Linked DNA regions of Yarrowia lipolytica. The protein of the gene in region 2 purifies or fractionates together with the protein of the main gene of each other region. This does not show direct contact. Links are inferred from orthologs where the notes say so. Each region holds a gene or a part of one and is shown on either strand. Other genes may lie near its edges.

Region 1 (3,755 bases), on a different chromosome or scaffold from region 2:
CCGTGGCACGATGCCTCGTGCAGGTCGTCCAGAGTCATCAGCTTGTCCTTATGCCGCACCAGAGTGGGTAGAATGAGCCATAGTGGAGAGAAGGGAGTGGTCATGAAGACCGAGGGATCCTGAATCACACTTCCCTTGTCACCCTCGACTTGTAAAATGATGCTTCGGGGATCAGGTGTGCCCTCGAAGTGCGCATTGGAGCCGTTGATCTGGGTGATTTCGTATACCTTAGTGTGCTTGGGGTCGGAGGAGTCAACGACGAATCGAGCCAGGTTTCTGGTTCGAGGGTGTGTCAACGACACAATTGTTGGTTTTGTGGTTGGTGGCAGAATCACCAGGTGGTTCTTGGTCGTGCTCAGAGTGCTGGTCATGGTTATGTATTGTAGCGTAGACTGTTTTGGTATCAGGTTACGCTTCGATTTCGCTTCATCACATTGCTCATGCATCATCGAAGCTAATCCTGAACTTCAAGCAACGATGCTGCTTTGTACGAGTTGATGGAACGGCTTATGAGGAAAATATGGTCGCGGCTACGAGGAACGTATACGACAGCAATTGACTGAGACAGACGACAGTGACTATGTCACGTCGGACATTCTTGAGACAGCTAGGTGTTTATGTGGTCTGGACTCTGGGGCAGGTGGGACTTCTCATCTATTGGATCATGTATAAACCAAGTAATGGGCTAGAGTTAGTTGAAAAAGTTCTACACTCTAGCTGTAGACACTATAAAGTCTAAAATACGTCCCCAAACCAGAAAAATTTTACATGCATCCAACAATATCCATTAATGACATAATCCCTAGATAGTGTTATCTGTTCCAATTACCTTCTTCATACAGTATATACCGATACTTGTATACTGGACACATTCTTCACACTCATAACCTCAAGTATGCAATGCAAGGCTAAACAATTTTTTTGTGAAGAGATTGAGGTGAAATTTCAGAAAACCTACATACACAACCACATTCGTCAACGACAGTATTAATTAAAGGGAATAAGTGAGTACCAAAAACTGGGGACGACAGTCATATTGTCACTCCTCGTCCATTAAACTAACCCAGTGTCTACCCTTTCTCAACAGCTGTCCCAACTCGGCGGCGGATCTACCGTCGACCGAACCTGGAAGCTCAAGCAGCACTCCAAGTCGCTCATTTACGAGCCTCAGGTTGCCCAGGATCAGGACTTTTCTTTTATCCACGCTGTTGGTGTTGAAGGCCTGCGAGATCTCGTCTCTCTGGACTCCCGATTCGCTCAGTTCGAGAATAACCTGTTCAGCGACACCTCTATTGATGTCGATCGATATGTGCAGACCCAGGAGCAGAACGACCTGCTCGACAAGGCCATTTCGGCGTTCCTTTCTCTAATTGGACCCTACCTGATGCTCTCCCCTGCCGTCAAGGCCTTGGAATGGCTCGTCCGACGTTTCCATGTCAACCAGATGAACGCTGAGCAGCTTCTCCTGTGTGTCCTCCCCTATTACGACCAGGACATTTACCTGCGGGTCGCCGATGTCATCATCAAGCTCCCTCCCCTGTTTGTTTTCCTTAACAAGAGCAAGTCTGCTGCCCAGAACCCCCCTCGAAACCTGTTGATCCGAGCCTTCAGTGCTGATATGCGTCTGTTTGAACTCATCACCGAGTATATCGTTGGTCAGACTACCACAAAGACCTCATACCAGCGACAGCTGTCTTTCTGGTCGCAGTTTGCCATCTACGGCCTGGTCGCCGACAAGGCTGACCCCGAGCGAATGCTGGAGATCTACCTGCCGGCTCTGGCCAAGCTCGTTGTCACCATCGATACCGACTGCCAGATTGCTGCCTACATGGTTCTGACTGTTCTTGGTAACAAAATGCCTCTCAACAAGGAGGTATTCAACGCTCTCGTTGAGACCATCGCTGCAAACTGGACCCAGAAGGCCATCAAGAGCGGTATTCTTTGCATCACCCAGATGTACCAACAAAAGCAGGAGCCCGAGGTGCTGCCCACTAGCGTCATGACCGCTCTCAACAAGGCCGGTTTTCAGCCTTCAGATGTTGTCGCCCTATCTCAGAAGTACAAGATGGCTCTTTTCACCCTCGGATACTGCATGGCTCTGCTCCGGAACCCCGACGCTGCCAATTTCAAGGGTCTTGAAGAGATCATTTCCAACACCCAGTTTGGCTCTAACGAGTCCACCTTCCTTATGCGTTACATTGTTGACTGGGCCCTTGCAAAGGAGACCAACACGTCTGTTGCTGCTCTGGCTGCTCCCGTCATCGCCAAGTGGGTTACCCGAGGTGAGACTGTGCCTGAACTCGACCAGCTCGAGCTCAAGCTCCAGACTGTCTTTACTGAGGCTGCCGTCGAGGAGATGGAGGTCGAGGAGATCCAGGAGGATGTTGATGTCGAGTCTCTCGTTGAGCAGGCCAAGAAAGCCGCTTCTCAGACCACCACCTACTTCTCAACCAAGACCTCCGAGAATTACGCGGAACTTTCCAAGATTTTTGTTCAGCTCATCGAGCGAGGATACACTATGGACAAGTTTGTCAGCATGTTCTCCTCTGACATTGCTTCCCTAACCTTCTTTGCTCGAATTTGGGCTTCTCCCTCACCTCTTTTGGCGCGTCTTGCTGCCGTGGAGGCCGCTAAGACTATTATTACTGCCGCTGGCGAGGCCGACTTCCAAAACCTCATCCCTTACACATGCATTGCTCTTTCTGACGCATCCCAGCGAGTCCGAAAGGCCGCTGCTAGCTTCGCCGAAGTGCTCAAGTCCAAGCAGAACAAGAAACCCATCTGGGGAGTGGAGAAGATTTACACCAACGACTGCTCTTACCTCGGTTCTGGTGACGTTACCGTCCTTCTTAACGCTCTGTCTCTCGAGGAGTGTATTCTGGACGAGTCCTTTGTTATCCGACAGGTCTCTGATATGATCTCTAAGAAGAAGGGTTACAAGAGCGCCTTCTCAACCGCGGTTCTTGCCTACCTCGGCTCGCACGCGGTATCTCAGGAGATTATCGCCATTAGAACATCTCTTCTTACTCTGGTCACTTCTTCCGAGGAGCCCATTGTGCCTACCACGAAGGTTGTTGAGCCTCTGTACATCAACCCTCCCAACGATCTGGCGTACATTACTGAGTTAATCCGAACTGTCACCGACAAGACCGGAATCAAGTTCCTTGAGTCCCTTATCAAGAACGACTCCCCTATCTACGATGAAGTATGTGATATTGTCACCCAGCGACTAGTCAAGCTGTGGCCCACCCTCAAGGGAGATGCTCACCTGGGCCTGTTCCGATTCTTTGTTGATCTTTCCCTTGACAAGGACGTTCCCTTTGACTCTCTTGATGTTCTCGCTCACGTTGATGTCCCTACCAAGGTCTTCATCTCTCTGCTGGATGACTGCAAGGTCGAGCAAAACACAACCTCCATGGATGCTCCTTCTGACGAGTCTACTAAACGACGGAGACGATCTTCTTCGTCCACCGTTCGAAACCTGCTACAGGGCAAGCTCCACCATATTGCTGAGCGAAACTTGCGAAAGGTTTCTCTGGTTCTGGAGCTGCTTGTTGCATCCAAGACCACTGACGACGCTCTTCTAGGCCCTTTGTTCACTCAGCTTGGCGAGATTCTGACTCTCGGAACCGACTCCAACCTGCCTATTGACTACTGCCAGTCTCTGCTTGCTGATGTTCTTCTCAACATCATTCGAGCCAACCAACACGATGGAGCCAGCATTGATCGAGATATCCGAGTCGACATTGTTGTTT
Region 2 (3,050 bases):
CTGTATGTACTGTACTTGTAAATAGGAAGATCCAATTTTTGTGGACCTGCAATTGGCGAATTATTTGGACTTGTACTTGTACTTTTACAGTAGTCTCATAAATAGATCAAAAGACACTTTCTCTACATAATAACATACTTCATTTCTCTCAATTTTCCAAGGAACAATGTATTTACACTGTTGACTGTAAAATTGTTCTTCAACTAAAGCCTAATTAATTAATTGCGAAATAATGTGATATTACTGGGTGATGAACAGCGGCAGGATAACTACACTCAGAACAAGTTACTATCAGCCCATGACTGTGACGTCATATCGTCTGTCTGACTTTTACACTATCATGTTTACTGTTTTTCTCAGAATGAACCGTGGATAACACATGTTCTCATCGTTCAGTCTTGAACTATTTACTTAATTATACGCACTCTGACACAATTTCATATACATCGATTTATTCAATCCTTACAGTCGCTTAGCAACCGTTTTCTATTAATGCTCTAGTCCTCCCTTCACATGCTTACAAGACCAATTCTCCAGTGTACAAACCATTTCTTCCTCCCACGTTGAGGAACCGGCCGATTCGCAGCTGCTTGGAGACCGCAGCAACCACGGCGAAAACCTCTTTGCCTCGAGATCCGTGCTCACTGACATCGATAGAGTCCACCACGCCCTTGACATTGGGCAGAGTGGCAATCTGGGTGAAAGACCGCATCTCGGATCCCAGCTTCCACACCTTGATCTCTCCACTCCATGATCCGGTAAGGAAAATGTCTGAGTAGGGGATGGCGTGGATTGCAGTAATGTATCGGGGAGATTGGGCAGGGAGAGGCACCTTGTCGGCCTCAGCCTCTCCGGTATGTGGAAGATCAGTCTCGGGTCTCTCCTCAACTCCATGCGCTCGTCTCTCAATGAAGACAGGCTTCTTCTTGCTCAGGGACCACAGACAAATGGAGCCGTTGTCTGAGCCCGTGACGAAGTAGTGTGAATCAATCATGGAACAGCAGTCGATGGAGCCCTCGGGGAAGTCCTTGATGTCTCCTCCCCGGAAAGTCAGACGCGACTCGTCAGCAATCTTCCACACCACAGCAGTTCGGTCTCGAGAGCCCACAGTCAGGCATCTCTCGCCAGCCAGAGCCGAAATGTCTGCAACCACATCCTGATGACCGAAAAGCGTCTCCACTTGCGACATTTGGTCCAGAGAGAAGGTTCGGACCTTGAGATCAGCACATGCAGCATACAGCTGGTTTGTGTTTCGTCGAAAGGCCAGACCCATGACGACTCCCCGTCGATCTCGGGTGTGGAAAACATGCAGGCACGACAGACTCTCGGCTGCCCAGACACAGATGGTCTTATCCTTGGATCCGGTGGCAACGTACTTGCCATCGGGAGACACTGCCACACACAGAATGTCGTCAATGTGGCCCTTGTAATCCTCCTTGGGGTTGAAGGCATCCTTGGAGGCGTGACGGTTGCCATAAACAACCTTGAGCACTCGAGGCTTAGTCACATCACTGATATCCCACTTGACCAGCTCGACATCTCGTCCAACTGTGTAGGCATAAGGGTATCGACAGGCCACGGCGGTTGGTCGGAATCTGCTCTTGTGAACTCGTGAAAAGGAGTTGGCCTTGACGTCCAGGAATCGGTAAATCAGACCCTTATCCTCAGCCACATCCTCCTCCAGGCGCCTTGAAAGATTCTCTCGATCAAGATCAGCAGCGTCGAATCCTATCTCGCCCATCTCATCCTTCAGGTTCTCCAGGTACTGGTTGGCGAGTCGTCGTCGCTTGTCAGCCTGGGTCTCCTCCTCGTCCTCACTGGAGTTTGCCGTGTCGGGGTTCTCAAAGAACTGCTCCTCTTCATTTTCACTCTCAGAAGTAATGTCTTCATCTGCCACGTTGGGGCGCTGGGGTTTGGCGACCGCCTTCTTGCCTCGTCGCTCATCCCGCTTGGGGGCCTTGCTCCTCTTTTTCGGGTTTGAAAAGAATGAATCAACCATGCTATCGTCTTGTGTGAGGATTTTCAGAGTTGATATGGCATAAATTTTCTGTTGATGCAAGCCTCGAAAAAATTAGACTTAAGGTGTAGGACGTCTGATAGAGTTCTTAATAAGCAAATACTTAATAAGCAACCATGGTACCAAAGGTGAGAACTACGAAAGCTACGAAAATCGTATTGTTGATAAACAATAAATAATTTGACCTATATCAATACAACCGACAAAGGGGTGGTTACATCTGCAAACGCCGGAGAACATGCACCTGTCGCAACAAGTCAAGACCCTCTTCTTGGTTCGTTTTGGCACTGTTGCACAGAGCTGTGATGACCAGTCCACATAAAGTGGTCAGTCTGGATGCAGACGATTTCATGACTGCCGCCTCTGGATGGGCGTTGCGGGTCTCGTGCAGCTTGATGAGCTGGTTGGACAGATCCAACACTTCCTCGGGGTCAGACGAATCAGCACCTCCCACTTGACCGACACGTAGCTCGACCTCCTGGAACGCCCGAATATACAGAATGAGTTCCATTGCGCGCTGTCGTTCCTCCAGCAGTTGGTTTTGGCTCTTCAGCACCTTGGCAATCCGTTCTGCTGTAGCGTCGACCTCCTGCTTGACCTGCTCCACCTGGCGTTGGAACAGCACCAATCGATGCTTGATCTCCTGCACCTTGCTGTTGCCACCGCTGACCGAGTTTCCGAGCGCCACAAACTGTTGGTACTCCTTGTTGATGAGCTCCACGACCTCGTTTTCAAGAATCTGGATCCACTGGCCGAACTCGGACTTGAGGTCCTCTAGCGCCTTGAATTGCGTCAGTTCCTGCGACAACAGGTCGTCTCCCGACGAGATCCGGTCTCTGTCGATCTGGACGGGGAATGGAAGAGACATTGTGTATGGCGGTTGGACTGTCGCTATACTGTCAGTATGTACGCACACAGGACACGGTTTGCATATATGCATGTTGGTTGGGAGTCACGTGACTCAGATGGCGAGGGCCAAACGAAAGATGGAGACACTGAAATTTATATACTGTAGCTGGAGAGAAAAGGAAAG
Region 3 (3,499 bases), on a different chromosome or scaffold from region 2:
GTTGTTTTGATCACAGAACTGGTCATGGGATTGACTTCTCTTCTGTCCTTCTGTTTCAAAAGCACTACAACTGCCCAGTCAGAGTCAGAATCAGGCGACCCTATCAGCGATCTTTTACACAAGAGAACTGTTTTTGTGGCTGTCATTTCTGTTCTGGTTCTGCTGTTCTTTCCCTACCAGCTGGCCTTTACTCTGGCCACTGTGGCTCTTCTGGTGATGACTGCGTACTTCAAGTCCAACAAAGCTCCGCAGGAACAATCATTCAACAACTACATTTCCACCATCTGTGTTCTCATGACTTGGACATGTATCATAAATGCTCCTGTGCTGGCAGTCTGGATTCAGGGCATTGTTGTTCAGCGATCAATGACCTTTTCTTCCCATCACAACCTCGTTTCCATTCTCCCCACACTGCTGTTTGTGGAAAACCTATCCTTCAGGCGTATTCCCAGTGGTTCTTCCATCACTTCTCTCTTGTTGGCATACACCAGTCTGCACTGTTTGTTCTATGGAATGATGCAGGCATTCATGATCCACCATGGATTCAACCTGTTGGCCACCTGGCTCCTTTGCATGTCCTACAAAAAGGTCTTTTTCAAGTCCAAGCATGAGTAACCAAATCGATGAAACAAGTGGAGTGCGAAGAGGGTGACTATAAGTAGTGAGTGCAGTAGCTACTTTAGTGAGCTGGGAGCCTTGGGTCTAAAAGTGGCAAGTAAAAGAGTCTTAGACGGGTGTAAACGTATGATAAGTTCTATAACCAGTTCAATTTCCTGTAACTATTCGGTATCCCTATAATTCCACAAATATATGTCATATTCCTCTCCCCATATTGCCCTTCGCTTACATAATCATCCGATTAAACTCTGAGTTTATTTGAAAAAAATCCTGTGGGTGCATGATCAAGTTTTCAGTTTGGACTTTTTATACCACAATTCACTAAAAGCACAGCACAATGTCTGGAATTCCCACGATTGTGACGTTGGACGAGCCGCTGAGCGTGTTGGCCGTGCCCGATTCTGAGCTCAAGAAGCAGGCTCTTGCCAAGGTCAAGGAGGCGCTGGACCCTCTCTCAGAGCAGTACTCGGTGCTTGATCAGATTCATGTTCAGGATATGGATGCTGAGATGGTCTGGGCTCAGGCCAAGATGGTTATCGATGGCGTTTGTGATAAGATGATTGGCGAGGTGTTTCCCAAGTACGGCAAGATCCAGCCCGACAGCGAGCAAGAAGATGAGGAAGAGGAGAGTGACGACGAGAGCCAGTATGAGAGCGCTCAGGAGGAGGTTCCTGGAGAGGAGGTTGTTGGCGAGGAGGAGGATGAGGGAGTTGACGTCTTTGACGATGGCGACGAGGACGACGAGGACGATACTGAGGAGGACAACGAAGGCAGCGATGTTGATATGGACATGGATAATCTTGTTGATGATTATGAAGATGAGGAAGAAAAGGAAGACGACGACGAGGAAGAGGAGGAGGAGGAGGAGGAGGAAGACGATTCTGGAGGGGAAGAAAAGCCCGATAAATTCGGTCTCAATGATGGCTTCTTCGATATCGACAAGTTCAACAAGCAGATCATGGCCATGGAGGCTGACAACTTTGGAGAAGACGGACCCGACTTTGATTGGAACAAAGAGCTCGGCGAGCAGAGCGACGACTCGGTCGACGATATCAAGTACGACGACTTTTTCGGCAAGGCCAAGTTTGACAAGAAGCTGCAGTACGAGCAGCGGGTTGCCAAGCGACAAAAGCTTGCCGAACAGGCTCTGGAGAACAAGGATGAGGAGTCTGACGATGAGTCTGACAACGAGGCCGGTTCTGACGACAACGAAGCTGACTTCGACATGGAGGGATCTGGGGACGAAAACGAATACGAGGACATGATCAACTCTGTTAAGAAGGATCTGTTCGAGGAAGATATTGCCGAAGACACCCCCGAGCATCTGTCGACGTTTGAGAAACAGCAACGGGAAATCATGAAGCAGATTGCCCAGTACGAGAAGGAAAACGTGGGCGAAAAGAAGTGGACCCTTAAGGGAGAGGCTCGAGCAGCCCAGCGAACTAAGGACTCGCTGCTGGAGGAGGATCTGGACTTTGAGCGGGGAGCTAAACCTGTTCCGGTCATGACCCAGGCCGTCACCGAGTCGCTGGAAGACATGATCAAGGCCCGAATCAAGAGCGGCCAGTTTGATGACCTTCCGCGACGTTTCTTTGACGACCTGCCTCAGTTCAAGAAGAGCAAGCTCATCGAGGTCTCTGAGCAAAAGTCGCAAAAGTCTCTGGCTGATCTGTACGAGGCTGAGGCTATGGGAGAGACCGAACCATCGACGACGAACGAGCCCCCTAACGAAATGCGAGACGCTGCCCATCGAGAAATCGAAGACCTATACGCCGACGTTGCCTACACCCTCGATTCTCTGTCATCTTGGACCTACAAGCCCAAACCCACTAAATCCATCCAGATTGTCACCAACGCTCCTGCCATCTCCATGGAGGAGGCCCAGCCCCAGGCTCTGGCCCAGGAGGAACAGCTGGCTCCCCAGGAGGTTTACAAGCCCGAGGTTGCCGATAAGAGAGAGCGACTGGCTGGCTCGACTGGCCTTCCTCAGACCAAGGCTGAGATGACCCGAGAAGAGCGAAAGCGAGCCAAGAAGAAGGAGAAGATTGCCCGAGGAAAGCAGTTGGCAGAGAAGGAGGAGCGACAGCGATCTCTTGCGGTGCATTCCAAGGAGGGCGATGCCAAGGGCTCCAAGGCCCAGGTCATGGAGACTCTGAAGCAGGGTAATGTTACGGTGATTGGAAAGAGAGGCGAGAAGAGAGGACTAGATGGAAAGCTGAAGAGGGATCAGAAAGCCAAGGATGGTTACAGTCTGAAACTGTGATCGAAGCGAACAAAAAGTCCAGTTACAAATTATATAATTGATAGAGCATGTTTATTGAATGGCTGTAGGTAGAAGAGTTACGTATTTTTGAATATGGGTAATTACAAGAGCATACACAGCTGATGACGACCAACCTTGCCCTTGGAGTTTCCAATACTATGAAACACAGGTTATTCCCTGGAGTTTACACACCAGCCACGATCGATGTTCTAGTATGAAACCATTCTGTCGTGTGTCTAACACTCTTCGTCTATCAACGCCCGAGACAAGCTGAAACACAGACGACCTCGTTGAACGCACCCCATTTACACGCTTCCAAAGCCGATTCAGAGATCTACTTGGGATTTTTGGTGCTCCGGTTACCCGTTGCTGTCCGTGTATCGGTTTACTGTTTCTTACCCATCTCATCCCTTCAGGCAAGTCCAACGGGACCCCTGCTTATGTCCGACTACTTCCGACGATAGAGCAGCAAGAGTAAGGATATGGGGTTGTTGTACGACGGGAATGTTGCGTAGCTATTTTCAGGGGGTGTAAGGTGGTGCAAGGGGTCGAGGGACGACCCTCCGAGACAACTATTGTTGCACATTCAATTACCGGAAACAGAAAGTACAGGAACAG

Evidence for each region.
Region 1: the proteins of YALI1_A21630g (region 2) and YALI1_E34933g purify together in Saccharomyces cerevisiae (affinity purification with mass spectrometry; 5 studies listed by BioGRID). This does not show direct contact. The link is inferred for Yarrowia lipolytica from reciprocal best matches to the Saccharomyces cerevisiae genes RRP9 and UTP10.
Region 3: the proteins of YALI1_A21630g (region 2) and YALI1_B13586g purify together in Saccharomyces cerevisiae (affinity purification with mass spectrometry; 4 studies listed by BioGRID, with this or other methods). This does not show direct contact. The link is inferred for Yarrowia lipolytica from reciprocal best matches to the Saccharomyces cerevisiae genes RRP9 and MPP10.

The regions. Positions count from the first base shown.
Region 1 is NC_090774.1:3,490,961-3,494,715, reverse strand, and holds the start of YALI1_E34933g (uncharacterized protein), read left to right. Parts: upstream 1-1,384; coding exon 1,385-3,755. Other genes in the region: YALI1_E34942g (uncharacterized protein), read right to left, coding at 1-449. UniProt on the Saccharomyces cerevisiae protein: Involved in nucleolar processing of pre-18S ribosomal RNA. Required for optimal pre-ribosomal RNA transcription by RNA polymerase I together with a subset of U3 proteins required for transcription (t-UTPs). Involved in ribosome biosynthesis.
Region 2 is NC_090770.1:2,161,874-2,164,923, reverse strand, and holds YALI1_A21630g (uncharacterized protein), read right to left. Parts: upstream 2,000-3,050; coding exon 518-1,999; downstream 1-517. Other genes in the region: YALI1_A21620g (uncharacterized protein), read right to left, coding at 2,232-2,957. UniProt on the Saccharomyces cerevisiae protein: Involved in nucleolar processing of pre-18S ribosomal RNA. Required for efficient pre-rRNA cleavage at sites A0, A1 and A2, and biosynthesis of 18S rRNA.
Region 3 is NC_090771.1:1,357,694-1,361,192, forward strand, and holds YALI1_B13586g (uncharacterized protein), read left to right. Parts: upstream 1-955; coding exon 956-2,881; downstream 2,882-3,499. Other genes in the region: YALI1_B13556g (uncharacterized protein), read left to right, coding at 1-615. UniProt on the Saccharomyces cerevisiae protein: Involved in nucleolar processing of pre-18S ribosomal RNA. Required for the early cleavages at sites A0, A1 and A2 during 18S ribosomal pre-RNA processing.